2 linked regions of the Diceros bicornis minor genome follow. The protein of the gene in region 1 interacts with the protein of each later gene in a pairwise test. Links are inferred from orthologs where the notes say so. Each region holds a gene or a part of one and is shown on either strand. Other genes may lie near its edges.

The links.
Region 2: the proteins of TFAP2A (region 1) and GSTO2 interact in binary tests that used the Homo sapiens proteins (3 or more experiments, as listed by UniProt). The two-hybrid records come from large-scale screens. The link is inferred for Diceros bicornis minor from reciprocal best matches to the Homo sapiens genes TFAP2A and GSTO2.

What each region holds. Positions count from the first base shown.
Region 1 is NC_080753.1:56,160,311-56,175,771, forward strand, and holds the start of TFAP2A (transcription factor AP-2-alpha), read left to right. Parts: upstream 1-8,194; 5' UTR 8,195-8,837; coding exon 8,838-8,891; intron 8,892-9,796; exon of another isoform or gene 9,797-9,962; coding exon of another isoform or gene 9,963-10,013; intron 10,014-12,638; exon of another isoform or gene 12,639-13,412; coding exon of another isoform or gene 13,413-13,439; intron 13,440-14,663; coding exon 14,664-15,098; intron 15,099-15,461.
Region 2 is NC_080745.1:69,060,176-69,075,461, forward strand, and holds the start of GSTO2 (glutathione S-transferase omega-2), read left to right. Parts: upstream 1-9,473; 5' UTR 9,474-10,566; coding exon 10,567-10,642; intron 10,643-10,762; coding exon 10,763-10,930; intron 10,931-11,197; coding exon 11,198-11,306; intron 11,307-13,174; coding exon 13,175-13,397; intron 13,398-14,338; coding exon 14,339-14,440; intron 14,441-15,286. Other genes in the region: GSTO1 (glutathione S-transferase omega-1), read left to right, coding at 2,948-3,054, 3,792-3,945. UniProt on the Homo sapiens protein: Exhibits glutathione-dependent thiol transferase activity. Has high dehydroascorbate reductase activity and may contribute to the recycling of ascorbic acid. Participates in the biotransformation of inorganic arsenic and reduces monomethylarsonic acid (MMA).

The sequences.
Region 1 (15,461 bases):
CAGTGACACAAACACGACATTGACTGTCCGCTTTCATCACCCACAGAGAAATTATAAAGGATGAAACAATTCTGCCAAGGCCTTAAAAAACGCAAATGATAATTTAACATTGAAAATTCTGCCTTGCATGGGGTAAATAGGTAGTGCCTTCAACACCCCAGCTCAAGATATTCCATTAGGAGCCAAAATTATCTCTCAGGGCCAATGGTTATAGACTTTTCAGGCTGGACTTACGGAGACCGAGAGTCCTAAATCCAGGCTGGATGGCAGGCACTTGCATGCAAACTCACCAAATGCTGACCTGCTACATTAATGTTGGCAGCAGGGGAAATTCGCCCTTGGCTAGGAGAATGGGGTAGGGCAAATAGTACTGGATGTCCAGCATCACTCACGCACAAACTCAAACTCTGGTTATATTAAGCAGTGAATTACTGATACTATGACTAGAAAGATCTTCACAGTGCACGTCTGAAGGGAAACGGTGGGAGTGGGGTGGGAAAGCTTGTTCTCTTCCCCTTCTGAAGGGCAACAGGAGAGGCAGAGGCAGAGGCAGCCCAGAGGAACCTCCTCAAACACTAGGCTGTGCATAGGTTTGACTCCCTGAAGACTTTCTCATCTCACTCTAGACAAGCCAGGAAGGGGATGGAGATAACCGGAACCAGTCCCGACAGGGACTGCTTATAAGTTCCCAGGACTTTCTGCCTTTCCGCCATTTCTTGGCCATTTGGCCGGCACTGCCCAGCGCGTCCTTAATCCTCGCCCCCCCTCCCAGGAACAAGTGCACGGCAGGGGGCGGGAGGGGAGGGGCGCACAGCAGTGTTAAGAGGAGCGACACCTCTTAGAACCGGTTAGGGATTCCTGAAGACTGTCCCTTGGGCCTTGCAGTGTCCCTGCGAGGGAAGAGATCAAAAGGGACCGCGCAATCTCCAAGAACTCACTTTTTCCCCCCTCTGCCCGTCTATTTCGGGGTAATGGGAGGCAGGCTTTAGTGAGTCTTTGAACATGCTAGAAAAGTAGACATCGGAGTGGGGAGAGGCAGATGAGTGGATTCCCAAGAGCCAAGAGACTCCGCGCTATGCCGGGCCAGTCCCAGGCTGGGCTCCCCTGTCACACCCCGCACCGGCGCTCAGGCTATCCTCTGTCTTTCCCGGGCCTGGAGGGACGCGGCGTGTCCAAGCGATTTACTCTGGAGGAGAGTGGGGAGCATTCACCTTTTCTTTGCCCCCTCCCCCCGCATACACACACACACTCCGCGCGATTCTTCTCTAGGGTTTCCCTCCAGGGCAGATTACTTTATGACAGGGTGTGATAAGTGGTGATTTTGTTCCTCTTTTGATGGCAGGATTGCTTTGTAAACAGAAGCGCAAACTCGTTCCGATAGTGGTTCCGCACCAGTGCGCGGCAGCCGCCCTGGCACAGCGGGCGGCCGAGGCTGCGGCTGCACCTGTCGCCTGGGGCCGGGAGGGACCCGGGCCGCGCGTGGGGGGCGCACTGAGCTGGGTCGTGGACCTCGGGCCTCCAGGGCATCTCTAGAATCTCAGCTTTTGGGCCTCCCAGCTTGCTGCACTGTACCCTCTGCTGCAAGAACTCTCAGTTGAAAGTGCATGCCTGGCAGGCGTGCGGTGGACACCTGTCAGGGGCGTCGGGCTTCCTTTCTTCGCTCTTCCTGGGCACCTTTGGTAAGAGATTTGGCTTCTTTCTTTTGTGGTTACTGGTAACCCTATTCCTTTGGTCTAATCCTTTTGGAGAGTCAAGCGAGCTTTTGCCCCCTGGAAGAACCGCCCCAGGTGAACGCCTCAGATCTGGGTGTGGCAAGACGCACCTCGACTCCCCTCACCTTCTCCCGTGAGTGGTCCAGCCCTCTCCTTTCCTTGCTCCGAGCCTGGGGTCCAGTTTACCTCTCTGAGGGGCCCAAGAAAGACCCAAAGTTGACAGGCTCTCCAGGCCCAGAGGCGGGGAAGACGAGCCTCGGGAGAAGAAGAGGTGCAGGCACAGTGAGTGGTCACTCAACTTGTCCCAATAATCCCCGACTCCTCTAGGGGAAAGCTAAGCGAGGCCGAGGCCACCCCACAAGTGAATTTCCACGCTAACCCATTGCTCTAGATTTCCAAGGAACCTCAAACGCCCAGAGTGGGTTTGGCACCTGCTGATGAATGAAACGGTGGGGGAAGAGTCCTGGCTGCTCTGGGGTGGGGTGAATGCCGTTCAATCAGAGCTTTACCCTAAAGGAAAGATTGTTGCCGCTGCAACTTTGGGGCTGATGAAGCTGGGGGAAGGGGGGGAGTGGGAGGGGGGAGGTGTGTTATGGGACAGGAATAGATTCCACCAGGATATCCTGGGATACCAGGGGCCTCAGAGAGCCTGAGCTCAGCATTACCTGAAGCCAGGAGCTCCGCCCAATCTGACACCAAGTCATCCTGCTCCTTCCCACAGCGCAGGTCGCCCGCACAGAGCGATGCACAAAAAAGTTGGAGATTGTGCCGAGAGTCCCAGCACCTGTTAGCTGCCAAGCCTGCTTTGTGGTGGCGCGACCAGAGTGGGGGAGAGGGACTCCTGCTGATCTCCCTCCCCTAATCCAGTAAAACAAGCCGCAGTTTTTTTTGATTCTCAAGAGGCCCAAGGCCAGACAGTTCTGGAGACTGCTTGGATCCTGGGGCAGGTCACCTAGGGCAGTTAGTGGCTCTGGGCCTGCCCTGGCACTGGGCGCAGCTGATTCCTTTGGGTGGCTGACCAGAGTCTGGGCGCAGGCTGAAGCTGGGAGGCATCCTCCACCTGCCCCTGGTGGCTCCCTCCTGGAGGCGGCAGAATCAGGCTAGTGCTGAGCTGGGTGGGAGGTCTAGGTGGGGAAGGGCCCTGAGGGGTGAGAGGGTGTCTGGGGAGTAAGAGGGAGGGCGCACACCTGGGAAGACGAGCGTTCTGAGGAGGGAGTCGTGGGAGGTGCAGTTGACCACGACATCTGGCTACTGTGTGCCCAGGGAAGGAGCAATGGAGTTGACGTCATCTTGAATTGAACCGATCTTGGGTGCCTGAGGGTGGAGGATGGGGAGGAGTAGACCATCCTTCACCAGGCTCAGCAGTACAATATGGGCCAGGAGCTGTGCTAAGCACTCAGCACACTCCTCTAGTGAATTCTCACAACAAATTACCCGTTTTACAAATGAGTAAATTTAGGTCCAGACGGGTCCAGTAACTTGTCCTGGATCACTCAGCCGGTAAACGTAAAGGACAGAGCTGAGTTTGGACCCCAAGCGGTCGTACTCCCAAGCTAAATTCTAGCTCCTGGCTGCTCCCAGATTCCTCGCGTCCCTCCTCCCTTCTCTCCCCTCCCCCTACTCTGACCCCAGACCCAGTCCCAAGCGTCTGAGTAGACACCAAGGGCTCTCACACCCAAGGCCTGGACTGCTTCGCTTCCACACCGTCCTGTCCACTTCCACCCAACCCTACGCTGCAGCGTGGCTTCGCGCTTGATCCCACTGGCAGCTTTGTCTCCTCCTTGCCGCACACGTCCCGCACTCCCCCGCAAAAACACTACCGAAGTTGGAGATGGCACTCTTCGCGCCCCACCCCAGCCCTAGCACACGCCCGCTCGTCCTTCCCGGGCTCGGCCTGGCCGGGCCAGCCGGGTCCCAGGTCCCTCCAGCTCTTGTTCCACCCGTGCGCGGGAGAAGGCAGGCTGCCCGAGCCTGAAACTGTGCTCATTTTTAAGAGAGCACAGCGCCTCCCGCCGGAATCTCGAAGTGCTACAGACGCGTCCTCCGCGTGTGGCTTGGACTTGGAAGAATTCAGTTTTCACCAACTTATTTCGACAGTCTGGAAAAAGCGGGGAAAGTGAAGCGTAGACACTTATGGATTAAAAGCGCCATAACTCAAATTATTTAAAATTCTCGCAAGCAAAAAAAAAATGTACAAACAAAACCCAAACTTGCTGAGCAAGGTTCTAAGGCAGGTCCAAGAAAGTTTCAGATCAACAAGAGAATCGGCACCGAGAGGAAAGTCCCGCAGCCCGGGGACGATTCAAATGCCTAGGTGACACGGGGTCTCCTCGGAGAGACACCACTACCCACCCCTGGAAATGCGCGGAGGGCGCAAGGCCACCTGGGCAGGCCACAGGGACAGAGGCGCGAGCGCAGGCTTAGAAAGGGGAGGTTTTGGTGTGGGGACACATCTTCACTCCTCAGAGTGGAGCTGAGCTTTTACACACGTTCGTCTGACGTGACATGTCAGAGAAGTCGATTTGAAACCGGTTCTTTGTACATCTCGCAGTCTCCGCGACGGCAGCTTGGGAGGATAAATGGGCCTGTCCCAGGAGTCCCAGGCCCAAGCCCTGGACAGTGGGATCTCGCGGCTGCCAGCATGAGGCTGGCACGGTAGCGGGTGACGGCAGCCGAGGCTAAGCTCCTCACCCTCGCCTCCCTCCCGGCCGGCCAGGTGTGGTTCCTGACGAAGGTGAGCTCCTCGGGAGCCCGAAATCCTGTGGCTTCTTTTAAAGCTCCTTTCTAATTAGAAGCAGCGGTGAAATCATCTGAGTGATTTTATCTGTCATGGGAAAGCAAACCCCAACCCAAACTTCAGGTGCCCATCCCAGAACCACCAACGCCCCCATTCTCCCTTTAAAAAGTTTTTAGTGGAAAAGCTGAAGAGCTGGGAAGCCATAGAGGAGTGGGGGAGGCGGACTGTGAAAGTGGGAAGAGAGAGTGGACCTTCAATAGAAGTGTAAGTGTATGAGTGTGCAAGTGTGTGTGTGTGTTCGGCTCTCTGAGGTGGGAGGAGACTAAACCTAGAAGCCAGAAATGAAACAGAATCGTGAACGTCTTCACCTACTGAGAAACACTTTGATCTGAGATCCGACGTTGAAGCAGCCCTGGGGGTTGCAGACTGGGGTCCGCGAGGGCCGGGAGTGCCCTGAACCTCGTGGGCCGGTGGGGAGGCCGGGACCGGGATCTGGCCCCACCGTGTGCATTCAGGTGCGCAGGACCTATCGGGTCTGGCCTCCTCTCCTGGCCTTGCCTTCCCCCCACCCCTACCTCTGGGTGGAGACTCTCCCACCCCCCAAGTTCCGAGAGGGAGGAGAGCCATGAGAAGAGCTTGTAGATGCCCCCGTTGCTTGAGTGCGAAAACACACCCAATCACACTCGCATCGCGCCCAGCACACCCCAGCAGGCAGTCGGCCTCGGTTCCCTGGTCAGGGACTGACCGGGAAAGCGGGTTGGGGCTGTTGGGAAAAGCTGGAACTGATGGCGAGATTGCCGCGGCTATAAATCCATCACTTCCCAGGTCAGCTCTGCGAGGCGCTGAGACTAGGGCTGGCGGAGTGCATTCCTGGGCTAGTGCGCATGCGTCAGCAGGTAGCAACTCAGCTCTTTATGACCAGGTGAGATGTTGGTGAGCAGGTAAAAAAGGAGGATTTGCCTAAGCGATTCCAGGGAGCGGGCCCGGCCGAGCCCTACAGCCCATGCCCGGCGGGGACCCGTCGCCAGGAGCGCCGAGCCGCGATGTCCATACTTGCCAAAATGGGGGACTGGCAGGTACGGGGGTTTGCCTTGGCTGGGGCTGAGGTGGGCGGGGGTGGAGCGGGGGAGGGGGCCGGGAGGGGGAGGCGGAGAGGAAGAGCCTTGGCCCAGGGCGGGAGAGTCGTAGGTGAGGCGCGCCTGGCAGTGCCCAGGAGTGTTCCCGGGAGAGAAAGAGGACAGGAAAGACGAGCGCAGGCGGAGGCCGCGGTGCTGGGGGCTACGCGCGCCGCGGGCGGGCCGGGAGCTGGAGAAAGTCCGGCGCGCGCTCCACAGGTGGCCCCGGGGGTCACTTGCGGTTTGCGTTACAGCGGTCCTCCCCCACCCCAAGGAGAAATAGGGGTAGATGACTAATTCAGGAGGGGGGAGGGCTCAGGGCGGGGGTGCGGTACGCCGAGAGGAAGCTTCCCTGCTCGCTACCCCTTGGGTCTTGCCCTAGACCCCAGGGCTGCGCGTGAGGTGGGCTTCTGGTGCACCTGTCTCTCTTTGTGTCTCCAAGTTTTGGTGACCTACGGGGAGTGGAGAATGAAAAGGGGTCCAGGTGGACGGGTCGCGCCGGCGAGCATGTTCTTTGGGGTAATACTTAGACTTTGCTCAGTTTAGCTTCTCGCTCGGTCCGCTTCCTGAAGCCAGTTTTCACAGCTTGGGCTCCGGATGGGGGTGACTGGATGAGGAGTGAAGGGTGAGTGATGAGGCAGGAGGTCTAGAATTTGCCGAAACCAACGCCTGCGAAACTGGGCCTTACTCGGTCTCCGACACCACAAGGCCACCTAGGCTCCAGATCCTGCCCTCCCGGAGCCCGGGGCCCCGACCCCGGCAACGGAGGCGTTCTTCCAGCGCTCTCCTTCTACCTTCCAGACATTTCCCCTACGGGAACCAAGGCAGCTCTGGCCAGGTTGGTGAGGGTAGCAGCCTCTCCCCTGTCGCCCATTTCATAATGGGAACCGCGGGGCCCTCTTTTCACCCCAGCCAAGCCAGGCCTGGTTAGGGCGAGATTCTGTGTTCCTAAAAGCCTGCGTGGCGATTCCAACCGAACGCCCCGAACTTCCCAAAGAAAAGGAGAGCCCTGCTCCTTCTGGGGCAATTTCTTTCGCTTGTTTCAGATTTAGGCCATTGCAAGTAAAGTTTAGAGAAGTCCCGTCTTCACTACATTCCCTGGAATCGGGGAAAGGAAGTGCTTTTGCAATTTTTATTTCTTTCCTTGCACTTATTTTTATTAACCGTGGGCTCTTTTATACTTCTCCCCCCAGTTAAATCTCACTAAGTGCAATTTCATCCCCAAAGTTTGACTAACTTTGTGGTTTAAGGATGCAAATCCCTCACCAAACACAAACCCTGGAAATCTACACCTTTTTCTCCCTTGCCCCTTTGGGCCTCAGGGCCCTTCTTCCTCCTCTTCCCTGGAGAATGAGGGTAGTGAAGACTGGGGGAGTTCTTTGGCGGAGGTCTTTGGAGTTTTCTCCTCAAGCCGGGCGAACTTTGCTGCAAAATTCCTCGGCGGTGAGAAGGCGCCCGGAGCGCAGGCTCGGCCTAGGTCTGGGCCTCCAGAGGGCCGGACTAGGGTGCGGAAGCTGCGAGATCCCGGCCTGAAGGGGAAAGGAGTGAATCCTGGGCCTGGCTCCTGCGGGCTCACAGTTTGGCATGTGGTGGGAAGACTAGATCTCGGGTGGGGCAGGGGGATTTGGGGCATGGAGGGGCCGGATCCTCCTGCCTTGGCCTGTTGGGCTCCTAGGTCCCACTGGGTGGGGACAACCTAAGAAAATAGAGTCATTCTGGCCCCTCGCTGTCTCCTTGTTTCTGTTGGTGTCCCTGTTACTCACACAGATACTGGCTCTTCCCCGGACGCCCCCTCCACGCCAGACCTGGCCTGGACCCCCGACCCCTACCCCCAGGCCTGGCGCTGCTGTCCCGGGTCTGGCGATGCTGGAGCATTGACATGCAATGAAGTGACTTGTCTTGGTAATGACGCTCACATTAACGCGGCTTGGCTGGCTCCAGGGGCGACTGGGGTGCTCACCCGGCCTTTCTTCAGCGCCGGTAACGCGGGCGGGCAGCACGGAGCGGGTAGGCCCCAATCTGCACCTCAAAGGCGCCCTCGGCGGGAGTACAACAACAGTTTAGCAGCCCCGCGGGTGCGGAGCCGGAGATCTGCGGGGCGCGGGTCAGCAAGACGGGAGCGGTGAGTGGAGAAGATGAAGGGCCTTAAATGCCTTCCCTAGCCCACAAGCAGAAAAAAAGAAAGCGAAACTTAGAGTTCCCTTAAGCACACTCTGGCAGTATCTGGGGGTTGTAAAATCCCATGCTCCCAGGCCTAGGATTTGGCCTAGAGATCACGCTCTGCGGCTGGCGGCCGCGGCTGGGAAGGTGTCAGCGCTCCCGGCGGCCTATCTCCCGACTTCAAGCCGCTGCGTGGAGCTGCGGGCCCGAGGGCAGCTCCGCAGGGTGCGTGTGCTAGCACTGGAAGCTGACCATTTTCTGGGCAGAGTGCGGTGCAGAGCCGAGAGCTGGGTTCAGCCAAGCAACTGTGCTAGTGTTCGGGTGGGGAAAGGGAACGCAAGGGAGCGCCCAGGGCGTTGGGACCGCGTCCCTCCAGCTCTACCCATCTTTCCCCCCTCCGCCCAGCTCTAGCCTTCTTTCTAACTTTTGGGGGGCCTCTGGCCTCCTTTGCCTGGCTTGGGGAATTTGCTGCAGTCTTCTGGAGGGAGAATTGTCTTTCCGCAGCTTTGAGGGGAGGGATCCTTCCTCCTGTTGCCTTCCTTCCACCTGTTAGGGAACGCTCGGATTTGGAACAGCCTGCACTGCTCTGCGTGGACGCACTCTGGAAACCTGGGAGGATTGGCGATTTGCAAGAAACAGGCCCAGATGGAATCGGAGGGCGTACTAGAGCAACTCGGAGGCCAGACCTACTATTGTTGGGGAGTTTTCGATCGTCGAGAGGGAGAAAGACAGAAACTTTTTTATGGAGGACAAATGAGGAAGCTCAGCCAGATAAATTAATTACTCTGTATTTCGAAGGATCACATCACGTCTTTTTTTTCTTTCTTCCTTAAAAAAATTCGCTGAAACAGAAGAAAAAAATATAAAGCCCCAGTGGGGCGAGCAGGCCCCTGTGTGGAGCAGGAGATCTAGACTGGCCAACATGGACGAGAGGATGGCTCGAAGGCCTCCGGGTTCCGTGTCAGCCGGGCACTGCGCCGCCAGCGCGCCCGCGTTAGTAACATCACCAAATCATGAAGGAAATCTCCTGCTTTAATTAAAAAGGGGGATCTTGGGAAAACTGGAGCAGATTAGCACAGCGAAGAGTTGGTTCCCAGCGATTTATTTTGATGCATGCATGACACAGCGCGCACATGTCGGTATTTCGGCTCAACTCCAGAAGCGACTGTGAGTCTCCATAGGAGTTCTGTATCTGTATTCTTGTCCACATCGCACCCAGGAAACCCTTAGCCCAAACACCACGTTGAATTATCAGTCGGCCCTAGCTTTATACAAACGAGAGGAAAATCATTTAACCCCTGGAGCTGTCAAGTAACCTCTTCAGGGTACAATTTTTATTTTACACGGGGCAATTAAAGGATCGCAAACCCCAGCCGAGCGACTGGAGCCGTTTGGTAAAATCTCCAACCTGGGGGGAAAGCGCAAAGCCAATAAAACTCCCAAAGCGCTGCGGCCGGAGGTGGCGGCTGCCGCGAGCGGAGGCGATCTCTTTTGGGGCAAAAATCCTGGAGTAACTTCGCCGGTCTTGGTTTGGTGGTTATATTTAATTGCGAAAGGGATAATAATTTCTCATAAAATTGGACAGGGCCGAAAGGACAGCGCCGTTAGTGGCGGCAGGGGTGGGGGAGAGGTGCTGGAAGCCGGGCTCGAGGAGCGACCTCTCGGACCCTGCGCAATGCCTGGCTTTTGCGGAGGACGTCTCCCGCGAGGAGAAGACGGAGAGTTAGAGGAATGGGGTGGAATGAAGGGCGGGGGGGCGGGAGGCGGCGCTGGGGCAGGGGCGCGCGGCGGGGCTCAGGGGAGATTTCGTCGGCTCACAGGCAGGCGTGTGCTCTAGAAGCAAGTTCGCGGCTCGGAGAGGCCTTTATACCTGGGTTGGAGCGGCCGGCGGCAGATTGTGGTGCTGGAGAGCAATTGGACTATTGTTGATATGCTAATGAGGCGATTAGGCCGTTGGTAAAGAGCTGGAAAAGGGAAAAGTTTCTACCATTAGAGGGAGATCTCCGAGCGCACACGGGAGCTCTTTCCTTTCTCTCCTGCTCCTCCTCCTCACCCTCCTCCTCCTCGCCCTCCTCCTCCTCCTTTTTGCCCTCCTCCTCCTCCTCGCCCTCCTCCTCCTCCTCTTCGCCTCCTCCTCCTCCTGCGCTCACCGCCGGCAGCCAGCACTTTGCGCTTACCCAGAGAGTAGCTCCACTTGGGTGCGAGGCGGACAGGGGGCAAATCCGTTCACGCCGATCCATGAAAATGCTTTGGAAACTGACGGATAATATCAAGTACGAGGACTGCGAGGTAAGCGCGGCGCTGGCTCAGTTATCCTTGCTGCGGCAGGCTCCGAGCTCTACCTTCCCGCTCCTCCTCCTCTCCTCGCAGCCAGCTGCGAAATGCAGGTGGGACAAACTTTCCCCAGCGCAGCGCCCGCCTCTCCGATTCGCCCGAAGAATGTAGGGGAGAAGCTGGAGAGGGAGGATGTGGATGGTCCCTTCTTTCATTTCCCTCCTTCGAAACCCGTGTCCCACTTTCCCCATTTTTCTGATCAGTTTTGGCTGTGCCTAAGAGTGGAGCTAAGAGATGAGCATGGGTTTTTGAAGCAGTTACTGGCAATTGGGCACACGCCTCTGCACTCTGCGTGACTCTCCAGCGAGATTCTGGGGGCCCAAGTCACCAGGAAGAGAAAGGAAAGAGAAAACCCCTTTCCCTCTTTAACATCCTCTCTACTCTTTAATATTCCTTCTTTTATTTATTCATTCTATCCTTCCTTCCTACCCTCCCCTCCCCCTTTCTAAAAAGGCTCTCTTCTCTTTGGAGAAGGGGCCGCACACTTCGCTCTGAGCTGAGTTACACCTCCCAGTAAGCGGGTTCAATTTGGAAACACTCATCTCCCAAATTGCCACGGGGCTTGCTCCAGGTACTCTGTTATTCAAGAAGTTCTAAACAGCTTCTCCCTCTGAGCTACTTGGCGCACCCCTGGAGTGGGGGAGGAGGGCTGCACCGCACGGAGCCTACTGGCCGCCGAGTCCCCACACGTCTTGCCCTGCAGCCGCCCGGCGCTCGGCTGCGTGACCGTGGGAATCCTGGCGAGGCTGCACACGATCCCTGGTGCCGGGAGCCCCCGGAACGATAGACCGCGCCGCTTTGAAGCCCATTTTAAAACCCTGGGTTCCCGAAGTTCAGTTTCTTGGGGCAGCCGGGGGAGCCCCAGCACCACCCGTCCTGTCCGCTCGCGGGAGGCGCTGGGAACGGACCTGGTGGCCGCTGCCCTAACCTCCCTTACAGCTCCTGCTGAAATGAGCGGATGAGTCACGGAAGGGGGTGGGGAGGAAGGCCCGCGGCCCAAGATTACCTAAATAAATAGGTGGCTGTCCCGGCTTTTGCTATTTTTCTTTTCTCTTTCCTTGGCTTGCTTTCTTTCCGGCATTTGGAGCCGAGAATGTCAGGCGTAGAGGTCTGTGCGCACGCAGCGGCAGGGGTCTTGTCTTCACTTGAAATCAGAACCTGAGTTTATGTGAACGATATGTCACCGTCCCCTTCCCCCTCTCCTTTCTGTAGACTATTTTAAATCTTTCTCCTTTCCCGTCCCCCCCCCCCCCCCGGCCCGCTCTGTGGATGGGGCACCGGGTGATATCCCGCGGGGACGGGCTTTTCTCGGGGGGCTTCTGTCGTGCACAGTGCGGGCCTCAGAGACCCCACCAGACCAGTCGCTTTGTTTTCAGGGCTGGGGAGGTGCCCTTTGCGAGCTGGTCTGGGTGAAACTGAGCCCCTTAGTTTCCCAGGGTGAATTGTCCCAAGCCGGGCTGTGGCCCGAGGTTCGGGCACTCACTTTCGCGGAGGCCCAAACTTAGCTCCGGGCTCCAAGCCCTGGGCGGGCGGGGTCCAAACCTCCGCGAGGCGCTAGGCGCCTATGGAACCGACGGGAGAGACGATGAACTTGCACCCCCAGAGAGGGACCCTGTGGGGGCGCGTGTGAATGTGTCTGTGAGTGAGGCAAAAAAAAAGATGAGAAACAAGAAGGAGAGGAAAATAAATAGAGTGAAGGCTGTTTCAACAACTTTGTGGTGGGCGAGCGCCGGAGCAGGGATTTCGGGTTTCCGAGCCGGCTTGGAGCTGTCTAATTATGTCGGGGCTCTGCAGGGACACGCAGCAGGCGAAGTGCCGCTTGTTCTGACAACCCAGCGGACAGACTGGCAGCGGCGGCCGCCTTGCCGCGCTGGGAGAGAGCGAGCCGTGTCATCTGGGGGGGCGTCGGGCGGGAGTGGCCCAGCCAGTCGGACGGGTTTGCGCTGGGAGCCGGGAGCCCGTGCCAGCGGCGCCCAGGCTGGGCCGCCCTGCGTCTCTGCGCGCCCCTGGCCGCGTCCCGGCTCTCCCTCCCCGAGCCCCTGCCCTGGAGAGCCACGGGCAGGGCGGCAGCTGCCGCAGAGCGGACGGCCCCGGGTGTCCGAGGGAAGCTCGAGTGGTGGCCGAGGCGCGGGCCGGCGGAGCGGGAGGGCCGGTCCCGGGCGGGGCGCCGGGCCATGGAGGAGCGGCGCGGCAGCGGGCAGCCGAATCCCGAGTCCCAGGCACGGCTGCGGAGCGGAGGAGCCCGCGGCCGGAGAGGAACGGGAAGCACCCACCGTGCCGAGAGCCCGATGAACGCCCGGACGCAGTCGCCGGCAGCTCCTGCCCGCGACACGCGGCCCCCGCGCTATCCCGAGGTCTGCCTCAGCCTTTTAGGTCTGATTGTCCTCGCTCGCTTCCTCTCCCCCTCCCCTCCCCCGCTGCCTCCCCCTCCGTGCGCTCCGGCTCGGCCCCCTCCCCCTCCTTCCCTCCCTCCCTCCCTCTTTCCCTCCCTTCCTCCTCTCGGGCTCTCCCTCCTTCCTCCCTCCTCTCTCCCCACTCCAGTCTCTCCTCTCTCGCCCACACTTTCTTTCTCACACACGCACGCAGACACATTCTCCCTCTCTGCGCTCTCTCCCTCGGTCTCCCTCTCTCCCTCTTTCTCTTTCACTTTTGCATGCCCTGCAACCTTTTAAAATGTTGCCCCTTCCCTGTGATTCGCCAGACGCCGCGCCGCGGCCCCCCGCGCGCTCGCCCGCTCCCTCTCTCGCCCGCTTTTTGTCTCTCGCGCTCCCTCTCCCCACCTCCGATTTGCTACACTGAGGCTCCCGTCAATGGACTGCATTGAGAGCCGGCTCCGGCGCGAGTTGCCTCTCCGCTTCACGCTCGATTTCCAGGCATTCTTCCCTTATTAAGTATTCGTGTAATATTAATAGTCATGAATATCTGCTATTAGGAAGCTCCAGGAACGCTGCCCAGCGCGGTTATTAGAAGCTCAAGCGAAGCCGCCGCTAAGAAAAGAGGGGGAGACACGGATTAAGGAACACGCACACACACACACAGACACACACACTTTTTTCTTTTTCCTTTTTTGGGGTTTTTCCTTTTTAAAGGAACTTTGAATCATAACCGATCACGGCAGGATAGAGACCGTGGGTTCGACCAGCTGAAGGCGCCGCTCGAATCGGTGGTTCAAGTTCGGATGGACCAGAGCGGGGCTCCAGTGCTCGGGGCAGCGTCGGCGCCGTGACTGGAGTCCTGGGTGGCGCGGGGCTTCGGCGCCTTTTGTGTGGGGCGCGCTCGGGCGGCGGGGCAGCCAGGCTCTCCAGGCTTGCTTGTTTTTTTCCACCCTGACTCGTTACCCCAGACTCTTCGCAGATGTTAGTTCACAGTTTTTCAGCTATGGTGAGTCCCATCCCCACCCCCATCCCTGTTTCCTTAGGAATTCTGTTCTGGAAACCTGGTGCTGCGGAGCGGCCCGAGACCTCGCGTTTCACGCCCAGGTTTCCTTCAGGGCAACCCCTTTCCATCTGCATTTCCCTCTTTCCTCTTTTCTCTCGCTCCTTTCCGTTCTTAAATCGAATGCCTTACCTCCCCCGCCTCCGCTCGACCTCTCCCGGCGGACAGACCTACCTCACCGCTACTTCCCAAGGCGTTTCTCGCCACCCTCATCTTTATTTCCTTGCGTCTTCACTTGTTCCCGAGATGTTCTCAACATCTGATGCTTAATCCATCTGCAGGAAAAGCGCGGCCCGATGTGCCCCCTACCCTCGGGGCCCGAGGGTTCGCCTTCCCTGGAATCAACTCTGTTTGCTTGTTTTGCAAGCGAATTGCAATAGAGGAACATAAAGTCAGGCGTTTCTTCTGCCCTTTGGGGCTGGGGTGGAAGGGGCGGGGGGATGTTGCTCCGCGCCGGGGTGCACCTTTCTCTTTTAAACCCAATAAGGCTGAATCTTTCTATTTTAAACCTTGACTCGACGTCCCCCTCTCCCCATCCATATCAAAAATCGACTCTGTCGAGAGAAAGGCTCCTAACTGAGGAAGCGGAAAAGACAGACCCCCAACCTGCAGTTTAAACCTTCTTTAAGCTGGTAATTTAAACGTGTGCTTTCGTTACAGCCCCTCTACGAAATATGTTTCTATTTAAATAGTCATGAAATGGTAATAGTCTTTGAACGTGTATGATTTTCCTCCCCAAATAAATGGAACAGAGTAAACAATAACGCAGTGGCAGGCAGGTTCAAATCCAGGGAAAAAAGAAAAGGCCGCTTCTGCTGTTTAATATTTAGTAGGAATTTTAATTTTGCTTAAGGGAGGTTTCACACTGCAGCTTAACGGGCTGTATTCCGGGAGGCCCTTTTCTGTCTTTTCCCCCTCTTTGAAAGAAAAGCCTAAGAAGAGTGTCTTATGCCGCTACGTTTGCACAATCTAATTCCCTGCGTTTTTGGAAGAGCCCGTCTCACTTCTGGGGTATTTTCCGAAATGATCAACGTAGAGCTCATTTCTTTCGGCAGCCTGCCGATGGGAACGGGCGGTTTCCCACGCAGTCCTGCGGAGTGGATTTAGTGCACAGCTGTAACTCGACGCCTGATTTCTTATTCTTTGCCCCTTCCTCTCGCTCTCTTCTAGGACCGTCACGACGGCACCAGCAACGGGACGGCACGGTTGCCCCAGCTGGGCACTGTAGGTCAATCTCCCTACACGAGCGCCCCGCCGCTGTCCCACACCCCCAATGCCGACTTCCAGCCCCCCTACTTCCCCCCGCCCTACCAGCCTATCTACCCCCAGTCGCAAGATCCTTACTCCCACGTCAACGACCCCTACAGCCTGAACCCCCTGCACGCCCAGCCGCAGCCACAGCACCCGGGCTGGCCCGGCCAGAGGCAGAGCCAGGAGTCTGGGCTTCTGCACACGCACCGGGGGCTGCCCCACCAGCTGTCGGGCCTGGATCCTCGCAGGGATTACCGGCGGCACGAGGACCTCTTGCACGGCCCTCACGGGCTTGGCTCAGGACTCGGAGACCTCCCGATCCACTCCTTACCTCACGCCATCGAGGACGTCCCGGTAAGAAGCCCTGTGGGAGGCGGAGAGGGAACACAGCCCCTACTCACCCAACCCCAGAGAAGGTACCCGGGACACATGGCCGCTGGGCCTGGGTTTTCCTCAATGGCATTTACTTTTTCAAAATCTCATTTTATTTGGGGGGTGGACGCTTTGAGGACCCACATAGACAACCAAATTTAAAAATTTAAAAGTAGTTGAGAGTTCTGCTCCTAGAACAATGGTTCCTGAAGCTCCTTCAAACAATGCCTGCATTACCACTTCCATCAACAGAGAAATAAATCCGACAAATGTCACCATTAACAATATCTTCCCCTCTCCAGGACAGTAAACTGTTTCGATTGGGAGAGGATCTAATTCCACCGC
Region 2 (15,286 bases), on another chromosome or scaffold:
TTTTTCCTGAGGGAAGACATAGTTCCTGTCTTGTATGGGAATGTATCCTAGCATTTTATCAGTAAGCATGAAGTTTGCTGTAGATTTTTTTCAGAAACCTTTTTTTTATGAAGAAAGTTCTATTACTAGTTTGCTAATTTTTAAAAAAGTCACGGATGAGTGTTGGACTTCATTGAATGTTTTGTCTGCATCTATTAAATCTATTGAAATGTTCAGAAAATTTTTTCCCTTTAATCTGATGAATATGGTGTTATTGACAGAATTTTCTGGTGTTGAACCATCCTAGCATTACTGGGATAAAACCTACGTATTTTCAGTGGATTTTCATAGATACTCTAGAATTAGTTAATATTTTAGAGATTTTTGCATATTTGTTCATAAATGAGATTAGACCATTATTTTGTTCTTATAGTGTCTTATGTGGTTTTTATATCAAGGCTATTCTAACCTTATAAAATGAGTTGGGTTACTTTCCCTGTATTTCTAATCTCTGAAACCATTTGATAGGGTTTGGCTGTTTCTGTAAAACATTTGAGCCTAGTGTCTTTTATGGGGGTCAGTTTTTCATTAGTATTTCAATTTCTTTAATGTAATTGATTTTGGGGGTTTTATATTTCTTCTTGAATCAATTTTGGTGATTTTTTTTGAAAATTATCCATTTCATCTAAGTTTACACATATATTGGCATAAAGATGCTCATGTTTCCTAATTTTTAAAAATCTCTACATATAACTACTTATATACCTGTATTCATTTCCAATATGGTTATGTGCCTTTTCTCAAGTTTTCTTGATCAGTATTTCTAGATATGTATCTTATTAGTTTTTTCAAATAATTAGTATATGTTTTCTTAATCCTCTAGGGTTTGTTTTACAACTCATTATTTTCAGCTTTAACTTTATTTCCTTTCTTATAATTTCTTTAGATTTACTATTGCTCTTTTACTAACTAGCTCAGGAGTTGGATATTTAATGCATTTATTTCCAGTCATTCTTGATTTTTTAATGCATTAATGATCACCATATATTTATTTCTAAATAACATCTTAGTTGCATCCCATAAGTTTGAATATGCAGTATTTTCATCGTTCAGTTCTAAATTTTTTTTGCAGTTTCCATTGTGATTTTTCTCATTGCCTCTCAATTATTTATCATTGTACTTTCAAGTTCCCTAAACTACCTTTTTTGCTGTTTTCTAATTTAATTACATTATGGTCAGAGAATGCATGTGGGTTATTGTTTTTTTGAAAGTTAAGACTTCTTTTGTGGACCCAGTTGGCAACCTGGTAGAGCCTATGGACTCATTCTCAGAATAATGTTTTTAAATGCTTAAATTAAAATATACGATTCACTCATACTACTATGGTTTACTGCCGTTTTGATAGTGGAAATATCTCCTAAATTTGGGGTTAGTGGGGAGAGTAATGTAATTTTTTCCCCATCTAAGTTCACAGACTTCAGGTTAAAAACTCGTGCTTTAAAATGAGTTTTCCATGTTTTAGGGCTGCTGACTGAAACCACCATACTTAATTTTATTTATGCATAATTACCAGGCACTACAGTTTAAGGACAGACCCAGAAAGACTGATTTATTGTACAATTCTGAGTGCCTAATAACTGCAAGGCACTCTGCTGAGGTAGAAAGTAAGATGCTGTCCATATTCTTCAGATGATTACTTAGGTAGTAGACAAAAGACAAATACTCAGGTAGATATAAACAATCAGTCTACAAGGCAGAATGTTATATGGGCCCTGAGAAAAACTATGGAAGTTTTATAAAGGGTAAGTTGGTTTAGTGTTTACTAACCAAATAATATTCTTAGTTCCCACCTTTGGCAAAACCATAATATCAATTCACCTTCTTAAATTTAGGAAACATACTATTTGTGCTTGGTTTTCAAATAATTTTATTTGGCATCTGTTTAATAGTTAATCCAGTTATTTCCAGTATATTTTAAGTAAATTTTTTATTGAAGTATTATATGCAGAGAAGTACCCAAAGCATAAGAGTACAGCTTAATGAATTTTTACAAAGTGAACACAGCCGTGTAACTAGCACGCATATCAAGAAACAGAATACTAGTTTTGGCTATTTTTTGTACTTTATATAAATGGTGCATATAATATGCACTCTCTTGGGTCTGGATTCTTTCATACAGTATGAGGTTTGTGAGGTTCATCTATGTTGTGTGTAGTTCATTCCTATTCTTTGTATAGTGTCCCACATATGACTATACCACAATTTATCTAGCCATTTTACTCCCAATGGACAGTAAACATTTCCACTTTGGGGCTATTACAAATAGTGCTGCAATGAACATTCTTATACATATCTTTTGGTGAATATATGTTCACATTTACAAGTAGTAGAATTACTGTATTATAAAGTATGCATGCACTCAGCTTTAGTAGATACTGTTAAAACATGGTTGTACCAATTTACGCTTCTACCAGCAGTGGTTCTACACCCTTGTTAACTTCCTCTTGTTCATTTTAGCCATTCTGCTGGATGGGTAGTGGTATTACATTTTGGTTCCAGTTTAATGTAGTTGAGCACCTTTGCAAATGGTTATCGGCCATTTGGATGTCTTTTGTGAAGTGTCTGTCCTGCCAAATTTTCTAATGGGTTGTTTGCCTTTCTTCTTATTGATTTCCAGTTCTTTCTATATTCTGAATACCAGTCCTTTGTTGAGTGTATGTATTACAAAGATCTTGTACTCTGTGGCGTGTTTTATTTTTCTCCACTGTCTAGTTTATTTTATTGATTGTTTTGCTTCATCTCAAACTAACAGATTCTAAAGCTTAAACTGATCAGACAGAAAACCAACTTGGATATGTCAGGGTAAAAGCTGCTGCTTTCATCACTCTACTTAACTTGCCCTCATCATCTCTGATGATGCATCTTACTAGATACACTAATAAATACTCTTATGTTGTTTAATGTTCAGGTTCTGACCAAGAAGAAGACAACCTTCTTTGGTGGCAGTTCCATTTCTATGGTTGATTACCTCCTCTGGCCCTGGTTTGAACGGCTGGAAGTAGTGGAGCTAAATGAGTAAGACATTTGAGTATTTTGTGAATAATTCAGAATAGTATATATTGACCTTTTTTCTGAACAAAAATTAAAATATTTCATACAACTGGTATGAATGGGAACAAGCAGACAGGAGGAGGAGCGTCTTGGACTATCCAGGGCATGTCATATGCCTGCACTCACCATTCCTCCTCATCTCTAGTAGGGCAGGGAGTTCTGTGACTTAGTAAAATATTTTAAAAGTAATTTACTCCTTCCCTCCTGGTTGAAAATCCAAAAGGATGTACATTTTTATAAGGATGTCATGCAGGATTGTATAACCAATGCTACCTCCCATTTACCAGCAAGATTCCATACTATTTTCCAAACTCCATGCTTTGAACTTTGGCAGCCACCTTGGCTTACTCCCACTTCTTAAAGCTTAGAGCCATTCAGGGTTACTTTTAGTCCCAATTTGGCCATAGATTGGTTGTCTTTCATGTTCTCATTTTAAAAAGTTATCAGTCTCTCAATTTGGACAAGTTCTTATGCTAATGGAGCAAGTCACTTCACTCTAAGATTCCTCCTCCATAAAACAAAGACTTCTACAATATCTTCCAAATATAATATTCTATGATTATGTGCATTTAAAGAAATAGTTTTAAAGGTTAGAAGAAAACAAAATGAAACTGCAGAGTGATCATGATGATATATAGGAGACTTTGCAATGCCTTCATGGTTAATCTAGCTCATGCCTCCATTCTTTCCATCTCCTACAGCTGTGTAGACCACACTCCAAAACTTAAGCTCTGGATGGCAGCCATGAGGGAAGATCCCATAGCATCACTCCTCATTACTGATGCGAAGACCCTTCGAGGTTTCTTAGATCTCTACTTGCAGAACAGCCCTGAGGCCTGTGACTATGGACTCTGATGGGGGCAGGAGTCAGCAATGAAAATATGTCTGATGTTTTCCTTCACTAAAATGAATAATAACATGCTTTTATTTTACCAATAAAAGCTGTCACTTCTCAGTGGCTCACCTTCTCTGATTTGACATCATGGCCTAACTGTGGGGTTTCCTCAAGGCCCTCCTGCAGAAATGTGAACACATTTCCTGTCTTAGGATGCTCAAATGACTCTAAGGGATCTGTCATAGTCTATGATGAAAACCTCTAAATCATCATCTCTAGTGAGAGCTGGACTTCAGTCTAGATTTCTAACTGTCCATAGGACATTTCCACTTGGATACTCTGTTGTCATTTTAGGAGATGCCCTTTCAAGTTTGTCTTCTGGGTTCTGAGTCAAGAAACTTTCAATTCCTTATTCTTTCCTTTCCATCATCAACTTATTTCACTACCTTTCTTATTCCCATTGTCACCACTAAAGACCAGACTCACATCACCTCATAGCCAGGTGACTAGGTGGCCTCCCATTTGGTGTCCCCATCTCCAATCTCTATCCCCTTCAAATCCTTCCTACTAAATCCCACAGTGGGCACACAGCAGGTGTCCCATATAGATAATTAAATACTTTGAAGACCACATCCGTCAATACAGTATGTAAGGCTGGATGAGTAATGCAGAAATATTAATGCCATCTTCCATACACTTCTATAGCTCATTGGGCTTCTCACTATTTAATTTTTATGATCACATCACCTCCATAAGAAGGCAGGTCGGAGAGCATCATTTCATTTTACAGATGATTCAACTAAGGCCCCAGCGTTAAGTAAGGCCTTAAGATGCTGGCAGAAAGACCTGCAGAACACACCCAGCACACTGCTCTTACTATCAGAATTAGGGGGCTGTCGACCCGCCCAATACACGCTGGTTTCCTGTACTTAAACTTAAGAGCGCATAACAATCACCTAAGGCTCACTGCTGGATTTCGGATCAGTAGGTCCGGGGTGGGCCGGGAAATCCATATTTGAAATGAGCTCCCCGCTCCACGGTGATGAGGGCGACGCAAGGGCCGCACCCTGAGAGGCAGCAGAGAACCAGTTGACTTCACAAACGGCCTCCTGCCGCCCACTGTCACCACCAACGCCCAGGCTCCGGGCGGACCCATCTCTGCCGCCGTCCGCCTGCCCCACCCTCCAGGCCCGGGTCGGCTACATGCGGACGCCAGGTGGACTTACACCCGGGCGCCAAGGTCCTCACCCAGCCACCACTTGGCTTCCACACGGACACGCGCAGGGACTCACGACTCCAGGAGCTTGTAACGCGGCCGCCGATTGGCTCACTCGGCATTGCTAGGCCGGAGCGTTTCCAAAGGCTTCGAGGATTGGCTGAAGCTCTGGACGCTGCGGCCAGTTGGCGGGTAGGATTCTAAGGGGCGGGTTCTGCTTGGGCCCCGCCTCCCTCTGCGGCCACTGCCTCTCCACTGTCGGTTCTGCGTGCCACGGGGCCAGAGGTCGCTCGGGGGTGTCTCTCCATTCACCGCCACCGGGTGGGCCGGTCAGGCCTGTGCTGCGTTTGAAGAGAAGAGTGGGTTGAGGTTAATTCTGAATTTGGGGATTTTTCACGAATTTCGGGGCCCAGAATAGGATTGCCAACTTTATTTTGCCTAACACCTTTAAAAGAAAGTCCAACTACTTTATCAAAGTTTCATCAAAGATTTTTAACATCAAAAAACGTACAAGGGTTATAATCTAAGGCTAAGAAACACGTCTTTGAAGCGAATATATTTAACGTAAAGAAAAAAACCCAAATTCATTAAGTTGTTATGTTTCTGATTTGGCTGGAGACAGGTAAAAAAGCCCGCAGATCACTAGTTGTCAGCGCTGCCTCTTGGCACCGCTAGTTTGGCTACATTATAAGGCACTGGCAATCTGGGGAATTTGGTCTCTGAGAATGTCCTGTCTTTGTGAGGTCTATGGGTCTTCCCTGCTACATTCAAATAATAATAGCTAATGTTGAATGCTTACTAGATAATAGAAGAACGCTAAGTATTAAATGCTTCTCATCCACTATTTGAATTAATCCTCTCCAAATCACGTGATGTATTGGTACTATTAGATCTGATTTACGGATGACAATACCGGGGCACAGAAAGTTGTGATTTGCCCAAAGTCAACCAGCTAGTAAATGCTGAAGAGGAGATTCAAATCCAGCCTGAACTCACAGTCATTTAGACCCTTCTTGAGATAAGAACTTACACATGCTTCTGCCCCGGTCTCTTTTTTGTTCATCAGCTCTTAGCATTTAGAGCTTGAGCCAGGAGAGGCTTTTTGACACACCACTATAATGCCTGGGATTTAACAGGAAGTGTTGATGTTCCTTTTCCAAACTCAGTGTGTTTTGTTTGATTTTACAAATGTTTGACTTTGGCTGATTTCAGGATCTTGAAAATCTGCGTTTGTTCATTTAAATGTTATTATATCAAAATGTTTAAATTTTTTTTTCTTTAATTCCTCAAGCTGTAAAGAAAAATAGTGATAGGAAAGCAGAATCAAGTACTTAAAAAGAAACTCACCTTTGACTCTGCTTTCCCTAGTGGGAAGATGAAGTTCCTCCTCTGACAACTTTAGTATAATTACTATGTCCCAGATCTGTGGTTGTGTGTGTGGGAGGAGATTCGATGAAGGTGGGCAAAAGGTACCAACTTACAGTTATAAGATAAATAAGTACTGGAGATGTAATGTATAACAAGTTGACCATAGTTTACACTGCTGTATGGTATATTTGAAAGTTGCTAAGAGAGTAGATCCTAAAAGTTCTCATCATGAGGAAAAAAATCTTTTTTTATAACTATATGAGGAGATGGATGTTAACTAAATTTATTGTGGTAATCATTTCACGATATATGTATGTCAAGTCATTATGTGGTGCACCTTAAAGTCATACAGAGCTGTGTGTCAATTGTAGCTCGAGAGAACTGAAAAAAAAAAAAATGTCCCAAAGACATTACAACACAGAATTCCCTATAATCCTAACTTCCTGGGAACAAGTCCTGAATCTAGGCCCATCTGAAGATAGAGCCTTTTCCCTCACTTATCCCACTTTGAATTTGAACAATATCTGAACACCAGGTAACATAATCTTTCATGTAAGTTAGGCTTCTGAAATATTACGAGGAATGTCCTTCAGTTTCTACCACTATCAGAGATTGGTATGACAAAAAAATTTTGAAAAACTGCAAAATGCAAACTCCACTTCCTCTCCTCTTCTCAAAACAGAGTCTTGTGAATCGAGTGAAGAAATTACTTCTGTAGTGGCATTCTCTTCCTAGAAGGCTTAAGTCATTATCACCCATGACAAAAGTTCCCCACGTTTTCAAAACAGATCCGATTATATTTCAGGTAGCTGGCAACCAATTTGGAGTAGGTTTAGTATGGCCTTACTACCATTGGTTTCTTGCTTGAGTGAGTCAGTATAACAGATGTGTAAACATGATATAATAACAGAGAAGGAAAATTTGCAAAGAGGATTTCAGAGAGGTACGTATTGGATCTTAAAAAGGAAGTAGGGATAAGCTTAAAGGTCATAATTAAAATCTTTCCAGGGAAACCATAGTGTTCAGTGGTAAGATTAAAAACCACATTACTGAAACGTAGCCTGCAGCGTTCAACCCATTCAGCTGGCGTTAAACTGGTAACTGATGAAGTTAGTATTCTGGGTTGATTCTGGTTTTAATTCTAATGTGCTTGGCAAAGCTGAATTGCAGTGCATTTCATCTTTGTGGATATAGTGTTAGGATGCACTATGCTGTTAAAAATGTGTTCTAATTTACCGATATTAGTCATTAATTTTGAAGTACACTGAGCTCTTACTGTGCTGAGGATGGCCTGTATGATTTCATTCCACACTGAAAACCCTTCAAGTAGGTACTATTAGTATTCTCATTTTACAGGTGAGGAAGATGAAGGTCAAAGAGGTTAGATAGCTTGCCTGCGTGCCAAAGCCAAGGTTTGGGTATAGTGCCAAGTGAGAACCTTGACATCTTATGGCTTCCCTTCAGCAGAAGAACTGTTTCCATCCCTCTGTCTCTTCTTCCCTAACTACACTAAATAGACTTGCATTTCAGAACATTACTTCCCATATACAGGTATACTTTTAATAACCAATATTTTCCAACTCTCAGAGCTGGTTTCCTTTAAAAGGTGGGAATGAGAAGAAAAAGCTTAGAAATGCATTCTCTTCTGACAAAGGAAAAAGCTGTGGATCCAAGAACCTTTTACTTTACAAATGGAATTCCCAGTTGGCCATTGCTATTCAATCATTGTCAATATACACCAGGGATGGGCAAACTAAGGGCAGTAGTCCAAATCCAGCCCACCGCTGGTTTGTGTACAGTCCAAGAACTAAGAATAGTTTTTACATTTTTAGATGGTTGAAAAATAATCAAGAGAAAAACCATAATTTGTGACACATGAAAATTATATGAAATTCACTGAGTGATTCCTAATATAAACTATGGACTTTGAGTGATAATGATGTGTCAGTGTAGGTTCATTGATTGTAAGAAATGTACCTCTCTGGTATGGAATGTTGATGGTGGGGAGGCCATGCATGTGTGGGAGTAGGGGGTATATGGGAAATGTCTATAACTTCTGCTCAGTTTTGCTGTGAGCCCAAATCTGCTCTGAAAATAAAGTCTATTAAAAAATACTATATATGTGTGAAATTCAAATTCAGTGTCCAAAAAAATGTTTTATTGGGGCATAGCCACACCCATTCGTTTTTATATTATCTATGGCTGTTTTCACCCTATGAGGGTAGAGTTAAGCAGTTGAAACAAGATGGCTTGAAAAGCCTAAAATATTTACTCTCTTGACTTTTATAGCAAAAGTTTGCCTGTCTCTGGTGTAGATTAAGATCCTGGCTGGAGTGCTGCCCTTGGAGTCCAACTTCAAGGCTTCATAAGCCTCCCTCTCCTTCTTACTAGTTGTGAAGCTTTTTACAGGTGACTTAACCTTGCTGGCCTCAGTTTACTCATCTGTTAAAATGAAATAATAATAGAACCCTTATAGGACTGTTTTAAGGATTAAATGAGTGCATACACAAAAAGCATAAAATGTTAGTAACAACTTATTTTGATTTTGAGTATTTCACATTCCTCTTATGGCCTTCCCTTTTAGAATCTGGATATATTCTCTCTCAACTGTTTGAAATCTGCATTCTTTATGTGAGGGATTCATTTGTCTGCCTAGGTGCCTTCCAGAAGCTCTCACGTGATGTGGTTACATTTGTTGCTTCTATTTTACCACCCAGTTTGTCCTTCTTAATAAAAATTAGCTCCAGATTAGTAGTTATCCTGTTCCTTTCTCTATCTTCCAAAATGCACAGTTGTCAGCATGGCAAGTCAAGAACCAATTTCTCTTTTCCAGTACCAGATTTCTTTTCAGAGAACATTTATTCAAACATTTTTGCCACTCCCCAATTCTTATAAAACAACAACTTGCCGTATCTCACGTGAAATCACTCTGAATGATTTAGCAAAAAACGTAATTGAACCACTATTCTGAAGATTTTCAAAGATTCTTATTCAGTAGAAAAAAAATGTGAACACTATTAATCACTATTAATTTCTGGATAGATTGGAATTCCAAAGCCCAAATGTGCCCATTCATAAGGTGCATAATTAGGTTCTGTCATTTTTAATAAAGATATGTAGATTCAGCTACCATTTGTTGAGCAGCTATTATGTGCTGTATCTTTTCCGGGACTTAGATCCTCTCCTCTCCACACTGTTGCCAGCTGTAAAAGCCAAGAGAATGAGTCAGGCTTTGGAGTTTTAAAATTCTTCAACCCAACTAGCTGGTCACTTTGGGCAAATAATTTCCTTTTTCTGAGGCTGTTTTCTATTTTGTAAAATAGGAATAGTACTAGCTGCCTAACTGAGTAGTTGTGGGAATCAAATAAGGTAGTCCGTGGAAATCATTCAGTCAGTGTGAGTGAAACACATAATACTTCTCCTTTTTACCTGTCAATCCTACGAAATCCATTTACAAGCAATTCCCATTTCAGCTCGGCTCTGCAAAATTAAAGGAGTTATCTTTCCGCTTGCTAAATTTCAGGATCTCAGCCTATCAGGGTCAAGCAAAGGCAGCTACCTCCCTTATCTCATGTAGATGGAAAAGCTATCCAAGTGGCCCCTGAATGGCTGTGCTGTTGGCAATGTGTCCTTCACAATTAAAAAGGATTTTCTTTGAAATTTATGCTGAGGGTGTGGAGAGAGCTCACAAATGTGTCTTTGCCTCTAGGTATCCTGTTTCTATTCGTTACCAGTTTTTCAGAGCTTGGGTGAAATCTCACAAATAGGGCCAGAACTAGGGTGAGGCAAGTGAGGAGTCGAGGGCACAAAACGTAAAGAGGCGCTCCTTCTCAGCGTCGTGCGAGATCTCAACACTAACAAGTTTTTCCTTCTTATCTGCCATATCATGAGGAAGTTTGGCCTTATTTTAAAAAGGAAAAAACCCCTACTCATTATACAGAGGATGTGTCCAATTAGAGACGCAGGAGGGAGGGCTTAGAATAGTAGAGAAAACAATAGCGTTACCCTGGTCAATTTTTATTCAACTCCCTTGAAATACGTGCCGGATGGAGTTTAAATGCCTGTTCCTTGCGGATTCTTGACGTCGAGAAGAGACCCCACCGAATGGTGTACGCACGTTTTCAAAGCAAGGGGTAATTTTCAGAGTTTTTGCTCACTCCTGCTACTCTTTGGCTTCTGAATCTGGGGCGATGTCTCTCTAGGTTAAGTTATCCTAGCTCTGGTCCCAGATCATTTCCTCTCTGCCCCGCCAGAACCTAGTCGTTCAAAAATTGAATTTGGGGCGGGAGGCGCGCGCTGGAGCGCAGCTGTCGCTGGAGCCTGCGGTGGCGAGGAGCGGCAGGGCAGCGGCTGTGAGCGCCGGGCGATGCGCAGACGCCTGGAGACCATGGCTGAGGATGCGACCAGAACCTTAGGGAAAGGTGAGTCCTCTCGACAGCGGTCCGCAGGCGGGGGGCGCCGCATGGCTGGGATGTTGCCTCCGGAGAAGGGGCTGCCCGGCCTTGGTCCCGAGACCAGCGCGGCGGGGAGGGACTTGAAGGGTTCCTTTGCGCAAAAACCACGTGCAAAGTGCCCTCTCTGGGACTCCGGAGGTTGAGGGCGCGCAGCCCTCTTGGGGTTCCGGGTTGGGAAGTGAGCCCCTCTCCCCACTGGTCTAATCCACCTCTCCGTCCCCCTTCCCCCCGCAGGAAGCGTCCCCCCGGGGCCGGTCCCAGAGGGCCTGATCCGCATCTACAGCATGCGGTTCTGCCCCTATGCGCACAGAACGCGCCTCGTCCTCCAGGCCAAAGGCATCAGGTGAGGAGCCGGAGGCCAGCGCCCCGCAAGCGCAGGGAGATGTGTAAAATCCGGGGCCCCGTGCTCAGATTTCAGAGGGGTTCCGTCTCTTTCTTCTGAGTCCAAGTGAATAAATGATTAGCAAAAGGCGAGATTTTTAGCGCGCGGTCCTGAAGTGCAGAGCTCATGCGGGGCCGTGTCTGTGAATGAAACTTTTAGAACAACTCAGAGTGAACTGAATGATGGCTCTGGTGAGCTGGTTCCCTCCCATAATGCTTGTGAAGGATGGGCGTAGCGGAGGCCACCGAGGCCTTCTCTGCTCTTTGGAATGTAGCCCCCACCCCCGCCCCTACCCCAGGCACCTTCAGATCAACTCTGTTGTCTTCTTATTGCGCCTGTTGCATCCAACATTTTCTTATTTGTTTATCCATCTTTCCTCCACACCCCCAGCCCACTTCCACTCACCCCCCTCAAATGTAAGTTCTCGAGGGTGGGGACTTTTTCTCTTGTACTCGTGGGCTAGAAGAGAGCCTGGCATAGTAGGTGCTTAAAAATGTTTTTTGAATGAATCAACAAATAGTTCTAAACAATGAAATGGAAGGAACTGCTGTCAAGAGGTGTCTTGAAGGTCCTGACATACCTGAGAAATGGGTCCATATCCTTCCAGAAGGAATTTTGCCAGACTAGCTCTTGCAAAAGAGGTCTGGATTTGGAAGGCAGAGCAACGTTGTGGAATGGGCCCAGCGTGATGCAACAGGCCTCAAAGCTGAAGTGCTGAGGCCGTGTTCTTGACTCTTGTCTTGGAGAGGCCATCATTAGAGGGTGACTTCGGGGTGTCAGAGAAGTACAGAGACTAATATAGAGACATTTTAGATAAAATTGTGTAATTCTGCTTTGTTGAGTGTATGTGGCATATATTTCCAGATTCTTCCCTCTTGCTCAGTGCTAGTTGGCCCTAAGTTTACCTGTTTAAAATAACAGTAGCTTGATGTTTTACCCATAGTCATAAGTTGGCAGCTTAGGAACTAATGTCATATTTCTTTAGGGCAGGGTTCTCAACCGTGGCGCTATTGACATACTGGGTCAGATAATTCTTTGTTGTTTGTGTGTGGTGGGGGTGGGGGGAGGCTGTCCTGTACGTTGTTGGGTGTTTAGCAGCATCCCTGGCTTCTACCCATGACAACTAAACAACGTCGCCTCTGGTAACATTATGGGCTTGAACCTCTCATAGTAATAATTAATAACAATAAGAGGAATACAAAGTTATTGCTTGTTTATGTTTCTAGGCACTATCCTCAGCACTTTATACAAATTCACTTACTTGATCCTCACAACTATGCCAAGAGATGGGTACAATTATTATCCCCATTTTACACTTAAGGACACTGAGCACAGAAAGGTTAAGGAATTTGGCCAAGAACACAAGCCAAACTGTCCAGACCCCAGGCCATCAGATGCCAGAATTCATGCTCGGAATGCTAACATTGACCATTCTCTGTTGTGACCTGTTAATATCAGATTTGTATTTTCAAGCTTTAAAATGTACGAAACTCTGTACTGCTGAGGTTAAGCACGAGAGCCCGGAGTCAGACTTCCTGGGCTCTGGTCTTGGCTCTGCTCCTTCCCAGTGGTGATATTGGCAGGAGATTCAACCTCTTGGAGCCAGGAATCACAAGGAGCAAACAAGACAAGGTATAGAAAACAGTGAACACATCTTACTGTAGGGATGCAGACGATGTTATGTACTTTTCTTTGTAAAAAACCTAAACTTTAAAAAACTTAGTGCAAATTTAAATTTTATAAATTGACCTCTTTTGCTTTCAAGATGAGCGTCTGCTTGAATAAACCTCTAATGTTTGTTCTGTCTTGTTTTCCCTTTGCTTATTAAGACATGAAGTTATCAACATTAACCTGAGAAACAAGCCTGAATGGTACTACACAAAGCACCCTTTTGGCCAGATTCCTGTGCTGGAGAACAGCAAGTGTCAACTGATCTACGAATCTGTCATCGCTTGTGAGTACCTGGATGACGCTTATCCCGGCAGGAAGCTGTATCCATATGACCCTTATGAGCGAGCTCGCCAAAAGATGTTATTGGAGCTATTCTGTAAGGTATATCCACTTTTTTAAAAAGCCACTTACACTCTATTTTTCTTTGTGTGTCTTTCCCAAACTTCAATCCATTTTTAAAACCAAATCACTGGTGAAACTGTTTTGTTTAAATACTACGTATGCCTTAGGAGGGTAACTGGTACAGAATTACAGTAGGACTGCCACCTCTGATATTAAAGGTTAAAGGCTTAGCTGATAGCACTTTTCCATTTCATTAGCCATCTCCAGAGGTATGGTTATGGCATAATTATGACTGTGTGACCTGAGATAGGAATATTGAAAGAGCTGAAAACTGGTGATGCTTTAAAGGGAAGATGTCTAAGGTTTCAGGTAAAAAAAATATTGGGGTGTGGAGAAGGTAATGCACTATGCCCTTTATGCAGAGCAAGAGTGCCGACTGCCCAGGAAATGTGAAGAAGAGAGAAAAGGGGCACCTGTTGATAATGGGAGAAAAAATGATGGAGAAATTTTAAGATAGTTCTCTTTGAAAATAAATAAAAATAACTCAATGATATTAATAGCTGACATATACTGAGCACTTATGAGGTGCCAAGCACTGTTCTCGCTGCTTTGTAAAGGTTAACTCATGTAACCTGCACAACCGCCCTTTAAGGTGGGTACTATTATTGTACCCATTTTTCAGATAAGAACACTGAGGCTTAGAGCAGTTAAATGCCTTGCCTAAGGCTGTACAACATGGTAGTAGCTGCTCAAGTAAGGAGCACTGCGGAACCCCTTTTAAAGCACCTTGTTTTACCCGGGTGCTATGACACGTGGATTCCTGGAACCACAGAGATACCCCTTAGAGGGAGCTGGGGTGCGTGGACGTGAGTGTTGGCCTGTTAAGTTGGAGTGACAAAGCTTTTGCTGCCTTTTTAGGCAGAGCAGGAGCACGGAGTTCCCGCAGACTTCTCCATTAAGAACCTGTGTCCTCTGATTAGGTGCCACATCTGACCAAGGAGTGTCTGGTAGCACTGAGATGCGGGAGAGAATGCGCTAATCTGAAGCTAGCCCTGCAGCAAGAATTCTGCAACCTTGAAGAGGTACAAAGAGGGGCCCCTCTCCTGGTCAGATACAGGGGAAGAGGCGATGCAGGGTCCCTCATCTGGTCACCCTGACACCCTCTGCTTTCACAGACTTATTTTTTCTGCCAGACTTTGATAAGTTCAGCTACTAGTCATCTGATTTTAACTGTGGGTGCTTGCCCTCTGCTGACCTGCTCTGAAATTATTCTTGAAAATCTGTGAAGGAGTTGGGAGAGGACATGCGATGAATTTCCTCCTTCCCTTGAGTCACCACTTATCTTATGTATCTCCATATGGCTCTGTAGCTTCTGCCAGTGAAGCCGAGGTCTATATTGGTTAGGAATTGTGTTTGGCTGCTAGTAAAAGGGACCTAACTACTGTAAATTTATCTTATAAGGGTTTATTCTCTCACATAAAAAAGCCAGAGGTTTAGGGCAGTTCAGGGCTGTTTTGATGGCTTCTTCATAAGTTACCAGGGACTGAGGTTTTTTCTCTCTTTCTGCTCTGTCGTCTTTCGTGCAAGCCTTTCGTCAAAATGAAAGATATGACAAGGTGACAAGATAGCTGCTGGAACGGCAGCCATCACATCCAAGTTCCCGGTTGTGGAAAGGAGAACAGAAAAAGAAAAAATGGGAAATGACCAGTCTCCCTTAAAGGACAGTCTCCAAAGTCCTACCCAATGACTACTTAAATCTCATAGGCCAGAACTTAGTAGTAGGGTCATCTGTAGGGGAAGCTGGAAAATTTAGTGTTTTAACTGGGGACACCCTGAATAAAATCAGGCTTATGTAATTAAGAAAGAAGGGGAAAGTGGCTATGGGTGGGCAAGGGGCAATATCTACCAGTAGATCCTTTATTAACCTG